Lonchura striata: one gene and its partner. The protein of the gene in region 2 binds, or shares a complex with, the protein of the main gene of each other region. Links are inferred from orthologs where the notes say so. Each region holds a gene or a part of one and is shown on either strand. Other genes may lie near its edges.

Region 1 (8,212 bases), on a different chromosome or scaffold from region 2:
TGCGGCTCCCGAGGGAAGGGATCCCACGGGCCAAAGCGCCGCTGGCCTGAGGCCCACACGGAATTTCAAGGACTCAAGAGAGGAGGTGACACCAAGTCTGTTATTAAAGTATGGATTTCCATTTCCACTGAGTGCTTTAAATCTGGTCTGTTCGGTTTGGAGCTCTCTCGAGGACGAGCTCTTGGGACTTGCTTTAAAATACATGAAATGAAAAAAGGACATGAATCTAAATTAAGAAGACAGGAGTTTTTCTTTCCCCCCCTCCCCCCCCACCCCAGTTTTTATTATTTTTCTATTTTCTGTAAATCAAAGCAGGCTGAGCCTCCCTGCTGTCCCCACTGATAGGAAATTCTCAAAATATCCTATTCACACTACTCCTAACCAACCTCTCTGGCTTCTATCTTTATAGAAAAATGTAGTAACAGAAAATCGGCCCGGGAGAGTCACCTACAAACAAAGATCTATTTAAAATAACGACAGGGCTGGCTAAGGCTGTATCCCATAGCACCTGGCACACGCTGGAGGGGCTGCATGGAGGAGTAGGCAGGGTTGGGAACAGAACACGAGGGCCTTAGGACGCCCCACGGACAATGATCATGACCAGATAGTCGTCCTCTGATTTGGCCAGCGCCTTGGCCGTGGAGTCCAGGAACTGCTGGGAGAAGTCGCAGGGCGGAAAGGCGTGCAGGACCCCGCTGTTCTCCTTGTCTTTGTTCCCCCCCACAGGGAGGCTGATCACCCCAGCAGCCTGCTTTTGCTTTAGGTAGGACACCAGATTCCTGAGCGGCCTCTGCGTGGAGGTGGTGGCGGCCTCGGCGGCTCCGGCTGCGGAGCGGTTGTCTGAGGCGCCGGGCACGGCCAGAAGGATGGCGTATCCATTGGGACCCGCCACCTTGATGCGCCGGTTGACCTCGTCCAACTTGGGCTGGTCCAGACGGAGACGTTGGGTGATCTTGAGCTGAGCCACTTTCCCCCCAGTCGCTCCCTCCACGAGGAGGCTGCTGGCGACTCCGAGGTCCCCCTGGAGCAGGTGCATGTTGGACGGGAAGTTGCTGTTCTTCAGCAGGAGCATCCCCTGCCAAGCCAGGCACAGTTTGGGCGCTGCCCCAGCCTGCGCTGCTCCATCCTGCTGCTGTTTTTGGGGAGGAGGTTTGAGCCGGGAGCCTCCGCCACCTCCATCCGCCGCCCGCTCGTCCTTTTTGGCCGGACTTTTGCACTCCTGGGCGGCAGCGGCGGCGCGGTGCTTGCGCTCCCGCTCTGCGGAGTTCTTGCGGTCGCGCTTTTCGTTCTGCCCCCGCTCCAGGCTGCCCCGGCGGGACTCCCGGATGGGGGAAGGTCGCTCCAAGAGGAGCAAGCGGGACGAGCGCTCAGGGTCACTACTGTAACGCTCCCGGCCTCCCAGGAGCTCGGGGCTGCGGTCCGGGGGAGAGGTTGTGGCCAAGCAGTGGCGCTTTCGGGAGGAAGAGGAGCGCTCGCTGTCAGGGGAACGGTCCAAGTGCCGGCCTCCATCCTCCGCCAGCCTCCGTTTCCTAGGCTGATCCCTACTGCTACTGCCCAGCTCCCTCTCCCCGCGGTCCCGCTCCAAGGACCACCCATCCCGGCGGCGCTCCAGGCTTTCCAGTGGGTCATAGGCAGCTGCCCGATTACTCCGATCCCGCACAGGGGGCGGCGGGGGCACCCACTCTGTCTCAGGATAAAGGTCTCTGTCACGGTCTCTATAGAGCAACGGTGGCGTCCTGTCCCGGGCCCCCCGGAGAGGGTCAGGGGGGGCTCCCCGGTGAGCCCCAAAAGCAGCCGCCTCCGCCACAAGCTCGTAATGAGCCGGGGGCGGCAAGGGCAGGGGCTGCAGGTAGGGCTGCTGGTACCGATGCTCTGTGTCGGCAAAGTCTACGCGGAGCCGGCGATCCGGCCCCCCCAGGGGAAAGCCCCGCATGTGGGTGCAGGCTGCCTGCGCCGCGTCCAGGCTCTCGTACTGGATATAGGCCCAGGAATCCCCTTTGCGGTAATCGATCGTGCGGATGGTGCCAAACCGATCAAACTCCCTGGCCAGGGCAGCCAGGGGCACCCAGGGCCCGAGGCCGCCCACCCAGAGCCGGGTGGTCGGGGTGGCTTTCCCGTACCCGATCTTGATGGGGTTGCGCAGCAGCACCTTCCCCGACATGGCCAACTTGGCCCGGTGCGCCATGTCCAGATTCTCAAACTTAAGAAACCCATAGGTGCTGGTCTGCCCACGCCCCGGCCTCTTGATGTCCACCTCAGTGATGACCCCGAAACGGTCGAACGCTCGCCGCAGGTCCGACTCGCTCACGGTGATGTCCAGGTTGCCCAGGAACAGCGTGCGGTTGGCTCTCTGGTCATCCTCGGGGCTGATCTCCTCCTCGGCGGCCGCTCCGGCACCTCCTCCTCCTCCTCCGCGGAATCCCCCGGCTGCCGCCACGCCGGCCACGCGCTCCAGCCCGTAGGCCGGCCGCACCCGCGCCTCGTAGAAGCCGCCGTAGTCCCGCTCCCTCTCCAGCTCCCTCGGCAGCGGCGGCGGCGGCAGCCGGCCCAGGGCGAGCTGCTGCAGCCGGTAGTCCCGGTAGCCCAAAGCTCCTCCGCTGCCCGCGGGGGACAGCGCCCGCTGCGCGGCCCCGGCCGGCGGGTGCCGCACGGCGGCCGCCACCGCCCCGACCGCCGCCGCGCCGTAGGGAGACTCCTTGTCCAGCAGCGCCGGGGAGCGGCTGCTGCGCCGGCGGCCGCTGCCTCCGCCGACATAGACGGCCTCGATCTTCAGCGGGCGGTCGTAGAGCACGAGGCGGCCGCGGGCGTGCTTGGCGGCGCGCGCGTCCTCGGGCCGCCGGAAGTTGACGAAGGCCACGCGCTCGTCGGCGGCGCCGGCGCCGGGTGGGAGCCGGCTGATCTTGACGCTCACGTCGCCGAAGCGCTTGAACTCGTGGAACAGCCCGTCCTCCACCGCCTCGTCGCTCAGCGCCGAGCCCAGCTCGCTGATCTTCAGCGTCTTGTACTCGCCGCCGCCCGGCTCCGACGAGGAGGAGGAGGAGGAGGCGGCGGCGGCCGCTCGCGATTCGCCGCCGCGGCTGCTGCTGCTTCGCGACGCCTCCGCGGTTTTACCGCTGTAGCCGTGCCGGCCCCCGCCGCCCGCGGCCGCCGCCGAACCGGTCTCGTACTCGCGGCTGCCGGCGCGGCCGCCCTTGTCCGCGTGGGCGCCGCGCCGGCCGCTCCCGCTGTTGCTCTCGCCGGACGCCGCCGCCGCTTTCCCGCCGTTGGAGCCGCCGCCTCCGCCGGACGAGCCGCTCGGCTTCTTGCTGCCGCGCGAGGAGGAGGAGGAGGACGCCGAGTCCTCGCCGCCCCGGGAGCGCTTGGCCTTGGCGGGCGAGCGCTCCTTGCCCTTCATGGCGGCGGCGGCCGCGCTCCCGCCGGGCCTCCCCGACCGCCCCGCTCACGCACCCGCCGCCATCTTGGAGCCGCGCCGGCACCGCGCGCCGCCCTCCCCGCGCCCATTGGCTGCCCAGGGCGGTGCCCTCGCCCATTGGCCGCCGCTGCGGGGGTGCTCCGCCCACCTCCTGGCGCTGCGCGTTCCCATTGGTCCGCCGCGCTGTCGGTCTGCCAGCCAGCCCCGTGCTCCCGCGGGGGGGGCGGGAATTGCCGCCGTCGCGCGCCTCCCAGCCCCGCTCGCTCATTGGGCAGTTAGAAAGGGCGCGGCGATCTCATTGGATGGTGCTACCTGTCAATCGTGGCTGTTCAACCATGGGAGGATTTTCGCTGCCCATTGAACAATGGGCCGAACTTAGCTCTGCCTGCTGATTGGCTCTCCTGGCCGCCAGTTACAATAATCGTTCTGCGGCCCCGCCTCGCCCTGTGCCATTGGCTCTCCCGCTTAGATGCGAGTTCCCATCGCACCCCTCAAACTCTCGCGAGTTGCTCTGCCCCCGCCCCCTTTCCTCATTGGTCACTTAGCAACCCATCGCACTGATGTGATTGGCTGATCCATACGCCGCTCATGAAGGAGCGCGCCCCGCTCCCGCAACTCTGTTTCTGGTTTCTCATTGGGCGAGAAAACGTCCCCTGGCGTCTGATTGGGCGCAGACAGGCAGAGTGCTGATTGGCTAAGGCAAAAATCACTCAGGCTTGTTCTGGCTCCGATTGGTCGCCGCGGGGAGGGGGGCGGTCCCCGGGCAGAGCTCGCGGTACGGCGGTGCCTGAGGGCTCAGAGCGCGGCGGGCGGTGGTGCGGGGCGGAGGTGCGGCGGTGCTCCGTGTGTCCGTCCTCAGCCCGCCAGTGCGCCCGCCGGGCTGGGCTGAACCCACCGCGGGGCGAGCGAGGGGAGCTCGGCTGCGTTCAGTGCCTGCCTCACGCTCTCCCTGTTTGCTTGTGCAGCCCGCATGAGGCTGCGGCTCCCCGCGCTGCTCTGCCGGCTCTGGAGCCCTGCGGACCTGCAGGAACTGCCTGAGAACACGGGCACTCCTGCTCCGGGCCAGCAAACCGTTTCTTGAGATATTTCCCGTTTAAAGCTGCACATCACAGCGGTTATCCTGGTACATTCCTGCTCTCGCCATGTTTCCCTGGGGAGTTGGAGCTCGGAGGCTCTCGGAGATGAGTTCGGGTTAGGTCTGAGGTGAGGAGGCCTCAGGGAATTCCAGCTCCCGTGGAACAGGAGCGCCTCTGATCTGTGTGTTTTGTGAGAATCCCTCCGTAATCCCTGTGTTTTGTGAGGATCCTTCCATAATCCCTGTGTTTTCTGAGGATCTTTCCATAATCCCTGTGTTTTCTGAGGATCCCGCTGCCACCTGGGGCCCTGGGCGCTTCCTCCTCTTTCTCCTGCCCTGCTCTGCCTGTGGGAAATGTCGATGGGAAAAAGTTCAAAGGAGGAGAAAGCTCGGGCAGGACTGGGTCCCTCAACCCAGCTGGAACTCCTGCTCCTGCATCCTACAATCCCATAGATCATCCCCCTACACACCATTGTTCCCATTAAAACCCTGATTTCAACAGCCAAACAAATTTCACGCTCAACCCTCCAGTTTCACAACCAAGGTGGATTCATCCAACCCCCAATTTCACACTCTAAACATTCATGTCAGGCCCTCCAAACTCTCATTTCTCCACCCGAACCCAAAATTAATCCCCCAAACTTCACCCCACTAAACCCTAGTTTGACCTCCCCAATCCCCAATTTCACTCTCCAAATTCTTAATTTCACCTTCTAAACCCTGGTGCTCCAGCCCCTCAATGTCCTTCTTGTCATGAGAAACCCAAAACTGACCCCAGCACTGGAGGTGAGGTCTGAGCAGGAACAGAGGGACAGTCACTGCCCTGGGCCTGCTGCACACACTGTTCCTGATCCAAGGCAGGTGCCTTCAGCCTTGCTGTCCCCAGGCACACCTGGGCTCGTGTCCAGCAGCTGTCACCAGCACCCCCAGGTTCTTTTCCAGCTTTCCATCCACCCTGCCCTGGCCTGGAGTGTTCCAAGGGGCTGTTGTGATCCAAAGGCAGGACCTGGCACTTGGCCTTGTTGACCCTCAGCCCATGGATCCAACCTGTTCAGATCCCTCTGCAGAACCTTCCTGCCCTCCAGGAGATCCACAGATCCACTCAACTTGGTGTTGTCTGTGCACTGAAAAGGGTGCCCTTGACCCCCTTATCCAGATCGTGGATAAAGAGACAGAACAGGACCAGCCCCAGTGCTGAGGCCTGGGGAAGCCCACGAGCAACTGGCTGCAAGTGGGTCACAGGATCCCAGACTGGTTTGGAAAGGACCTTCAAGCCCATCCACTGCCACCCCCTGCCATGGGCAGGGACACCTTCCACTAACCCAGGGTGTTCCAAGCCCTGTCCAGCCTGGCCTTGGACACTTCCAGGGATCCAGGGGCAGCCACAGCTGCTCTGGACACCCTGTGCCAGGGCCTCAGCACCCTCACAGGGAACAATTCCTTCCCAATATCCCACCTAACCCTGCCCTCGGCAGTGGGAAGCCATTCTCTCTTATCCTGTCCTGCCAGTCCCTTGTCCCCAGTCCCTCTCCAGCTCTCCTGGAGTCTCTTTAGTCCCTGGAAGGTGCTCTAAGGTCTCCCCAGAGCCTTCTCTTCTCCAGGCCGAGCATTCCCAGCTCTCCCAGACTGTCTGCATGGTGGAGACGCTCCAGTTCTTTCAACAACTTCACAGCCTTCTCTGGGCTCACTCCAACAGCTCCAAATCCTTCTAATGTTGGGGGCAGCAGAACTGGATGCTCCATGATATTTAAGTACAGACCTTGGAGTGACAGGAATTGTGTTTGGAACATACACCAAGCTTCTGAAACTGAGACTCTCTGTGGAACAACCTGAACCCAGCAGAGCCAGAGCTGTGGTGGCTCAGGAGCTCGGTGTGTGTGGATCATCATGGGGAAGCTGAGGGACACAGATGCAGTTGGGTGGATGTGATCAGGTGAAGTGACACGAAGACGTGTGCGGGAGGAGCCACAGCTGATCCGTGGATCTGTCACAGGGCTTGTCCCAGCTGCTGCTCCCGGCTGGATCCAGCTGCTTCCCATAGAGACACAGCTGAAGGATAGACTCAGGAATTCTGGTTTCCCTCTGGAAAGGTTGTTATTCTGTCAAGGTGGTACTGCTTGACAGCAATACTTCCCTTTCAGAACTGCTAAAAAAGGTTTTGGAAGGCGGGTTGGAGTTGACTGAGGAATGAGAAGCAGCAGCCAGCAGGTTTTAGGGAGCAGAATATCCCAGTGTACAAGAAGAAAGCCTCACTGCAGTCTGGATCCGATGCCCCCACATCCCATGCAGAGATCCTCCCCCTCCAGCTCCTTCCTGCATCTCCGATTGTGCCTATAGGATTATGGAACCACAGACTGGTTTGGGTTGGGAGGACCTGAAAGCCCATCTCCTTCCACCCCTGCTGTGGGGAGGGGCACCTTCCACTAGCCCAGGTTGCTCTGAGGAGCTGAGGAATCACTCAATAAGGTGAGAGAAAAGTGCACAGAAAGCCATAATGTGCCATATTTCAGCTTCATCTGAAATTTTTTTGTTACATCTGGTAAAACCTGGCACAGCTCCATCCATGGCTGAAGAAGAAATGCATCATGTTAACAACAAATGATAGAGACTTCTGTCTCCAAGGTCCTCTCTTCCCAATGGTGCCCGGGGTTGGGAGAGAAAGACAGGGATTAAAATTCCTCAGCAGATGAGTCACAGGGTAAAAGACACCTTGTGGGGGAGCACTGGGCCACATCACCACAGGAACGGGGCCCTCCTGATAGACATTTAATCTGATTTCATTCCTCCTGAACTGCTCCTTCCAAGGGGAGACTTCTCCTCCTGGATTTTTCCACCTCCGCATCAGCTGCTGGTGATGTGGATCTCTGTGGCTCTGCATGGATCTCTGGCAGCACTGGTGTGCTTTGGAGCAGAATTGGCGCTGGGAAAAGGCATCTCAGCACTGGGAAGGAGCTCTGGAGAGGATCACGTTTGTCAGGCCATGAAAAACGATCTGGCACAAGCAGGAATCTTCCCCTGGGCCCAGGCTGGAGAAGGAGCTCTGTGCTCTGCTCTGCCTGTGCTTAGATAAAAGTGTATGAATAATTCAGGTGCCAGATGGCCCTTGAGCCCCTGGCCTAGATCTAAACACCTAATTACAGCTGGTGTCCCTGGGACTTGAGCATCCAGGTCCCTCTGCAGGGCTGGGCTCATCCCACAGGATACTTGGGGGTCGCAGAACCACAGAAATTGGCTGTTTCCTGGGAAAAAAAAAAACCAAACAAAACAACCAACAAAACAACCCCCCCAAACCCCCCAAAAAACCATCATTTTGGGGTTTAACTGTGTGTTTTCCTTTCCAAACCCAGCTGGAGTAGAAGACAGAGGAGCAGGTGGGCCTGATGGAGCAGGAGATGCAGTGAGCTCCTTGGATGGATCCCACAGCTCCCTCTCCGATCCCACTGATCCAGGCAGGCTTGCGAGCACCTCTGCTGGGGAGGCGTTTGCCTGTTGCAGTTTTGCATTCAGCCGAGCTGCCGAGACGTGCTCGTATCCCAGCTGGCTGCTGGAGACATGGAAATCCATTAGCTCCACTTAGGCGAGGCCACAAGAGCCCTCCCGGGAGCTGCCACGCTCTCCGGCCTGGAACCGAGGAGAAGCTTCCCCTGCAGTGGTGGCTGCGATCCCCGCAGCGGCCCGGACCTCGCCCTGGCCAGCGGAACAGAAGCTGGAGAAGCTCCACGCTG
Region 2 (8,637 bases):
AAAGCATTAAACTCCTTGCAGTATATTCATTGACTATATAGATCCCTAATCTACTACAGACTATTAACGAATAAAAACCCAACAAACTGCAACATGAAAAACACAAGAAGACTCTAAAGTAAAGAGTATCTAAACTACAGACAGGTTTTAGAACACTTTACATAGCATTAACACACCACATGAAACTATATTTACACCTAAATGACAGATATGCAGAGAAAGAAGAGGTTTAAATCACACTGCATTACCTTTGCATTGGGCCTGAAAATAATTGAAGTGTTTTCATCGTATTCAAGGCTGTTAAATTGAAAATACAAAGTAATTTCCATTAATACAAAGCATGTTTACAGAATAAAACACAGCAATAGTAATCATACAAGCCAACAATAAAACACTGAACAAATACGTACAAGAAAGAAAAATCACTTATTTCTACAGAATTCTTGGCATTAATATATATGGACTCTGTAAATTTAAAAATAACAGAATTTTTTCTTACTTTAAGCATAAACCTCTGTCCTTCCACACAGATGAGATGAAAAGAACAAGAACACAAACTAGCAAAATCCAAACCAAACGTGAAAGTCATGGGAGATAGAGGATTTTCTATTGCACATTCTCTGCACTCTAAAAATTTTCAGGAATTAAAGGTAGATAAGGAAGTCACACACTAATCTTGAAAGAACTTACCTTCCCAGCCGATCAAACACAGGGGCACTTGGTTTGCTGACATTGTTGAAAAACAAGTCCAGTTGAAATGAATGAGGGGATGTCTCTCTAGGAACAGAATGAAAGTAAAATCAGATGAGTTCCTTATCAGAGTAAGCAGGACTACCAAGGAGATAAAAACCACAAAATTATCCTATTTAAGGAATGCCCCAAAATAATTACAAGTCTGGCAAACACCCAAATACATTTTACATTTTTATGTAGGAAGGTCTATTGAGAGATGAAAGCTCAAGAAAAAAGTAAGAGGAAGGTTTTCTTGAATCTGATACCTGGAATCTTTCACTTACCCATAAGCCCTGTTGTCAGGCAAACTTGTGTGAGCTCTCACTCCAGGAGGAATGACTCGGACTTCATTTATGTAAACCACGCATGGAAAACGAACCACATCGATATTGGTACTTTGCTACAAAACAAAGAGGAAGCAAATTCTAGGAAACGTAAAACACAAACAACATCATGGTCTTGCATTCTCTACTAACAGAACATATTGCAGTCTTAATAATAAAACATCAAGTATAAAGAATTCTTACACCCTCCAAAAAGCTGTTTGAGCAAACTAGGAAGTTATCAAACTTACAGTGACTTTTCATATAGCAGCTACTAAAAAATTAATGCTGGACATCTTCTCTCACTAAATTCACTGCATTAGATCATATTATATTTATCCATCATTTTTATCATATTTATACGCATAAAATGGTACACATATAAAATTTATGTTTAATTGTAAACATATAAATACTTTCTTAAGAGAAGTTCAGAATCACATTTCCAATTAGCAAGCTGAATTACCAGACTAATAGGAAAAAAACCCCAAGCCACCGACCTGTCTATTAACACAACTAAAAAATTAAAATTAAAAAACAAATTGATTTGCAGTCGAAATGTATCTTTTTCACTACAATCAGAAAGCAAATTAAACCAGCAGAAAGCAAGTACTAAAATTTTTAGAAAGCTAGTAAGCAATGAAACAGACAAACTGGAGTTTTAAAACCGCTTTTAAGATATGGTTTTCAGCATGTGTTACTGTCTTGTAAAAAATCGATGCAGACATTTTTTTGCAGACAATACAACACAGCTTGGCCTGTGGGCTGATGTGGTAGAAGCTGGATGGTGGAAGCAAAGGAATCCCACTAGGACAGGAAGCACAGACACACGAACAGCAACAGGGCGAGTGCAGCCTACATGGAGTGAGGGTTGTAGGAGCTCATCTGTGTCTCTAAAAAACATCTGAGTCATGCAGGAAGCTCAAATTTCTGGAGAAAGGGCTGCTCTGGGGAGCTTCATCCCTAGGAACACCACCCACATAAAGACAAATTCCTCTTTAAATGATACTGGATTATGGCCTGACAGCCATGCACCAACATCACCAAAGCAAGTGAATTCTACCCACTTCTCCTACAAAACATTAAAAAAGACCCTCCATCAGAACTACTCAATAACTACTCTAAACTGTATAGCTAAGCCAAATAAATTACTTTATTCAAAAACACAGCAGTACTTTTCAAGAGCTGTAAGCTCTAGTAAAACATTCATAATCCACAAAGCCAAAGAATTAGCCTAACATAAAGAAGACTTTCAATATACACATAAAAAACCTAAGGTTCAGGTTTGGACAATGCCACTGATAAGAATGAAAGTGAGAGAAAATTATTTTTAAAGATTAAAATGTTCAACAAAAGAACATAGGGCCCTGGAGAGGCCTAAGAGTGGCTACTGTTTCTATCCAGGGGAACAGCACTGGGTAGCACTCCCCACCTAACATTGTTTTAAACAGTGGAATTAAAAAACAATTGGGGCCTAGCTGATCCAGACAGCTACAACACTCCAGAATAACTTTTCAACTGCATTTCATTGCAGCATGAGCTCTTTCCTTAATGCCTATTCACGAATGCAGTCCAGTTATTCTATGAATTTGAACGTCTTTCTCATGTTACTTTTCCCCTAACAGTCCCATTCCTCCTCCCTGAATTCTTCATCGAGCACAGCCCCAGACAAATCTGCTGCAAGATCAGCAGTTTCAAAGATGCTCAGGATCCCAACAGCCTCAAAGTGGAATATTTGCACGATCTACCACTGCCAAAAAAGCTTGAAACGCTCATTTAGTGTAAAGTAAATAAATCTAAGGGAATACCTCACAAACACACAAATATCCCTCCTCATCATCAGCTACACAAGAGCATCAGAAATCTCACAAGCGGCAGGGCATAGCCCTCCAGTCAACTTCTTCCATTATATCGACTTCTCGAAGCACGTTTATCTTCTTTGTTCTCCGCTCGCCTACATTCCTCGCCACCTCTAAATCCCCGCTGCTTTCCCACCACCCTCCGCCCCCTGCCAGCAGCACTCAGGCTGCCAGGACAGCGGCTCGAGCAAGGCTTCGGGTCAGGCGAGCGGGAAGGAGGCGGCAGCTCCCCCTCGAAGGGGCCTGCCCCAGGACTGCTGCTGCCCGACCGCAGCCGGGCCCGCCCCTGCGGGGCTTCCGCACTCCCGGCAGGCCCCGGCGCGAGCAAGGGGGGCGCCAGCAGTAGCCCAGGAGAAGGGAGAGGAGGGGAAGGGAGGTGAGAGGCGAGGCGGAACCCGAACGCCCTTTTACCTCCGCGCTCTGGTGCTTGAACGTGTCCAGGAACAGCAGCTCGGTGGCGGCATCCGCCGCCATCTTGGCCGGGCCGCGGGGGACGCGCTTCCGGCGCGCGCGCCAGCGCTTCCGGGCCGCGCGGGGCGGGGCGGGGCTGGGGCGGGGCTGAGGGCGGGGCTGAGGGCGGGGCTGAGGGCGGGGCTGAGGGCGGGGCTGAGGGCGGGGCTGAGGGCGGGGCGGGGCTGGGGCGGGGCTGAGGGCGGGGCTGGGCTGGGGCGGGGCTGAGGGCGGGGCTGAGGGCGGGGCTGAGGGCGGGGCTGAGGGCGGGGCTGAGGGCGGGGCTGAGGGCGGGGCTGAGGGCGGGGCTGAGGGCGGGGCTGAGGGCGGGGCTGAGGGCGGGGCTGAGGGCGGGGCTGAGGGCGGGGCTGGGCTGACTGCCGGTCCCGCCGCCCTCAGTGCCGCGTCCCTGCGGCGCTCATCGAGTCAGACTCAGGTCGAGAAAAAATCTCTGAGGTCGTCGAGTCCAACCTGCTGAAACTCGTGCCGCAGCCGGGGCTGTGAGCGGCGGGGCGCTGCCCCCTCTCCACAGAGCCCAGTCCCCGCAGCCCGCGCCGAGCCTCGGCCTCCGCTCGGGTTCACAAGCGCGGTGCTGGTTAATTTCAGCCCCGCCTGAGAAGTTTCCTCTGCAGCTTCTCCCGTGCTTAAAGCAATCGCTTTTCAGGTGAAGAACTTGTCGCTTCTCTCAAGTCCGTGTAGCAGAATTCCTTTCAACATTTCCGCAGCGCCAAAGTACCTGTTTAGCATCTATTGCTCTTCTGCAACGGCAATCAAGCACTGGGGACGCCACGAAGCCAAAGCCGGTCCCTGGCCAGGAGAATGATGTGGAATTAATCTTACGCAAGCGGTGTTGGTTACACACGTTTCTGTACGAGCTCCGTGCCTGACAGCAAAGCTGCACCATGTGCCTTTGGAGGAAGCGGTAAAATGACGTGTTACATCTCTAGATGGAAACTTCAGCCAAATACCTTAAGCACTGTCCTTAAGGGTGATAATTATTCCTTGTTATCTGCCTCTTGTGTCTGAAACGGCTGCTTGTGAAATACACTGGTTTATGGGTGTATAGGGACTTCACAAGCCCCTTTTTTGTTCCAGTAGCTGAGCTTGCTGCTCTCTTATCATTCCAAACTTTTACTTAAACCAGGAGCAGCAGTCCTCTAGGTTGTACTGCACATGAAAATGTTACATCACTTTAAACAAGGCTGTGGTTTAATACATCCATTTGCGGTGGTGAAACTAGTTCAGGAAGTTCCTGTCTCCACAGCACGTGTTAGGGAGCCAGCCACAGCATGCAGTTCCCCAATGGGTTCTACTGACACACCTGAAGAGGTGTTTTATGGCAGTGCAGGGATACTCATCAACTAGAATTTCTTCTCAGTTCACTGAAAACCTGATTCTGCCTCATGCTGTTTGAACAGATGTAGTTAAAGTATAAATCCCTTTAAAGAAATATTTCACAATCTTAAAACCAAGGAGCATCCTTGGCCATGCTGGTAGATTTGCCTACTGTGATTCTTGCCCCAACATGGATTCCCTGTCTCATCCTGCTGAATTACCAGATCTAGACTCCTGAAGTAAAATACAGTATCTTTACATAGAAAAGAAGAAAAACCCCTTTATATGTATTTTACTGAAGTAGCATATTGTAAATGTAGGTGAACCCAGTGGGAAGAAATAACATCTGACTCTAGTTCAGAAGACTGAATGATTTTTTTTTATTATGAGTATACTATAATATATTAATATACTATTTAAAGGAGATACTAAAACTACATACTTACTTTTTCTACTTACCATATCTAACTAACTCACAACTTGTGACCGCCTCTTGAGAGTCCAGACACAAGTGGATTTGACTGGCCATCAGGTTCAAACAATTCTCACAGAATCCAATCAAGCAATCACCCCAGGTAAACAATTCTCCAAACACATTTCACATAGGAAAAACAAGGACTAGAAATAGAAATTGTTTTCTCTTTCTTTCCCTCTGTGCACCTCTACGAAAAATTCTGAGAGAGAGAAATGTGCTTACCACAGTAGCACAATGCCTTTTGACACTCGGCACAGCTTGTTTTGATTAGGTTTAGGGGCTCTTTGGAGACTTCTGTGAGGCAGTAGCTTTGCAACTGCTCCACACATGGGCATCACCGTGTGTGCCATTGTGCCAGAGGAGCGCAGTCCCTGTCAGATGACTTCTCTGCTGGGATAGCCTGCAACAGTACTGCAACCAGGTCAGCCACTGAGAATTGTTTGGTAACTGGCAGGGGAATTCCAGCCCTGCGTTTTTATCTGCAGTGACTCTCGCTGCTGGGAACAGCTGCAGCTCTGGATTTGAACAGAATCAGCTTTGAAGGATTCAATTTAGGTGGCTCTCAATGCAGTGTCACTGACTTCAGCACATGGCTGGGCTTACAGGTCAGGCATTTCCTTGCTGCAAGAACAGCAGTGCTTGAACGTCACACACAGTTGCACAATATCAAGAAGCAATTTGTGTATTTTGGGGGGTATTTTCTCCACTGATGAAAGTGGAGACAACAGAATTTGGTTAGGAACAGCATTTATCTTAGAGACGTTAAAAAAAAAAAAGGTGGTAAACATGAACACATTCAAAAAGGAATGATAGAGCTGATTCTCCAATTTCAGTTGTAAGAAGTTGATATTCTGGAAGGAAACTGAGGAAAAGTGATACAGGTGGGGTACTTTTCAGAGACCAAATGTGTGTGCAGGAAAGGCCAACAGTTGCAGGTGGTATTGAGGTGAAGACCCTTCTGTAGAGCAATAGAGCAGGGCAGGCAATTCAGAACTGGCAGAAGAAATCTGGACATATTGAGAAGTGCAAAGTCACAGGTTGTTTGTTTTTTAGGAAGGGATCAATGGGTGAAAGAAGAAAACTTCAGAAAAATGGAGGAAATAAATAAGAGGATACATGAGTCTTGCAGTGTTGGGGGCGGGGGGTGTGACCTCCTTGGCAAGAAGAAGGGTGTGAGTTGTTTCACAACTGTCCTGTTACAGTAAGTGGAACAAAAGGACACGTGGTGGGAAATCACCACAACTAATACAAAAAGGACAGAAAAACGGTTACAAAGGAAACAAAAGGATTGCCAGAGAGGAGATGAGAACAGTAACAGTGTGCTGGCCCTGAGAGGTCACCTTACTTCAAAGCACCCCAGTTCCTTCCTGTAGATAACAATGCCCATGTCATCTGGAAGGTGACATTTCATGCAAAGACTATGCTTAGCCAGTCCCAGGACAATGGAGTGGCCTGGGACAAGCAACTGGAATGGGAGCCTGGGCAACACAACACAGGAACCTGACCAACTGGTGCATGTTGTTAGACCAGATGCTGCAAGCATGCAAGAAAGAAGGTGGAATGGGAACTGTGACTGGATAACAGGTGTTTTAGGGAATGTATTAGCCAAGAAAGAGAAAAATAAAAGGTAATAGCTCTACAGTGGCAATTAGTGACTAGCAGCTTCATAAACAAATGAATAAATGAAACAAGGGTTAGCCAGTAATCCAAAAGACATAATGGGAATTAAAAATACTTTCAGGGTACAGTTTCACTTTTGGAAGGGAGCCTTACATAATGCAGCCTGCTGTAGTAATAATCTAGGGACTCTCATGCTCCTAGATGGACAGAAACATAGGATGAGACAATAAGGCAGAAGAGAGACAAAAAAAAAAGTGTGTAAGTCAGAACACAACAAATCACTAGTAAAGGAACATGTGCCCATCCAAAAATCAGAAAAAAAGTGTGTAAGTCAGAATACAACAAATCACTAGTAAAGGAACACGTGCCCATCCAGAAATCATTCTCAGAAAGACAGGAGCTGCATCTCAAAAGCCAAGCTGGCACTGAGAATGAAACTGCCTAAGAAAGATGATTAAGTTTCACTGAAAGATGAGCAGCCAACCAAGACAGAACTCTCTGTCTGGCATGCTCCACTGTGAAGTAATTTCAGAAACGTTCTGATTTTTGTACTAAAGTATAAATGTTGTTCTAAGAAGTTGCAGTAACCTAAGACCTGAAAGGGAAAACTGCACAAAGACATCCTATGCTGTTGAATCCTTTTGCTCCAGGCTAGGCACAGATGACAAAGCAAACTCCCTGTGTGAGGACCAACCTTACTCCTCAGATGCTGAGTACAGATCACCTGCAGCCACTACTGAGGAAAAACACCCCAGACCTTCACTTCACAAATGTTTTATTCAATGCATCAAAAGTCAGAAGACAAATGCACAAAGAAAACCAGGTACTCTAAACCTCTGACAAATAGGGTACAATTATCTTAGTTGTTTCCTGACACTGGATTCACACGGAAAATTTCAGCTACTGTTTTTAAAAACTGGAGGGATTAATTTGACATTTTAACCCCTTAAATTGCAGTGTCTGCTACAAGTGAATGTCAGATTTGAAATCTTGGACCAGAGAGAGTGAAAATTATTCCAGCTATGATGTGTCATGCTGGAATTTGGTGGCAGTCCCCACAAGCAGAACCAGGCTGCACCAAACCACAGTAGGGCAGGAAGAGGATGCCAGGCACTATGGGGACAAGTCAGTGGCTGACAGGATCCCCAGAAGTGGTGAAACACATCTGCTCCCTTCCTGCCAAACAAGTGTGATTGTGTTAATAGAAGGTGGTGCAAGCTGTGAACCTGCACCAGCATAAGGAGTAGTGATGAAGAAACACACAAGGCAGACCTTCATAGAAATGTCCAGCACACAGCTGAACAACCAGGTGACATGATGGGTGAGCAGCTGGCTCACAAGTCAGGTGCAAAGAGTTATAGTAAATGGGGTGACATCAGGCTGGCAACCTGTCACTAATGGGCTTCCACAAGGCTCCATCCTTGGCCCAGTTCTTTTCAATGTCTTCATTGAAGACTTGGACATGGGACTCAAAGACATAAATTTGCTGAGAACACCAAACTGGGAGGAGCTGTCAACTCCTTTGAGGGCAAAGAGGCTTTGCAGAGGACATTGACAAATCAAGATAGATGGGCAATCACCAACTATATGACGTTTAACAAAGGTTAATGCCAGGTTCTGCACCTGGGATGGGGCAATCCTGGATGTATGGACAGCCTGGGGAATGAGAGGCTGGAGAGCAGCGCCACAGAAAGGGACCTGGGGGTCCTTGTCAGTGGAAAGTTGAATATGAGCCAGCAGTGCCCTGGCAGCCAGGAGGGCCAACCCTGTCCTGGGATGCATCAGGCACAGCATCACCAGCCAGGCAAGGGAGGGGATTGTCCTGCTCTGCTCTGCACTGGGC

The links.
Region 1: VIRMA (region 2) and RBM15 share a complex: the UniProt entries of both Homo sapiens proteins name them as parts of the WMM complex. The link is inferred for Lonchura striata from reciprocal best matches to the Homo sapiens genes VIRMA and RBM15.

What each region holds. Positions count from the first base shown.
Region 1 is NC_134632.1:1,363,677-1,371,888, reverse strand, and holds RBM15 (RNA-binding protein 15), read right to left. Parts: upstream 3,395-8,212; coding exon 572-3,394; 3' UTR 280-571; downstream 1-279. UniProt on the Homo sapiens protein: RNA-binding protein that acts as a key regulator of N6-methyladenosine (m6A) methylation of RNAs, thereby regulating different processes, such as hematopoietic cell homeostasis, alternative splicing of mRNAs and X chromosome inactivation mediated by Xist RNA.
Region 2 is NC_134603.1:24,170,241-24,178,877, reverse strand, and holds the start of VIRMA (protein virilizer homolog), read right to left. Parts: upstream 3,441-8,637; 5' UTR 3,389-3,440; coding exon 3,326-3,388; intron 1,133-3,325; coding exon 1,017-1,132; intron 778-1,016; coding exon 691-777; intron 298-690; coding exon 249-297; intron 1-248. UniProt on the Homo sapiens protein: Associated component of the WMM complex, a complex that mediates N6-methyladenosine (m6A) methylation of RNAs, a modification that plays a role in the efficiency of mRNA splicing and RNA processing.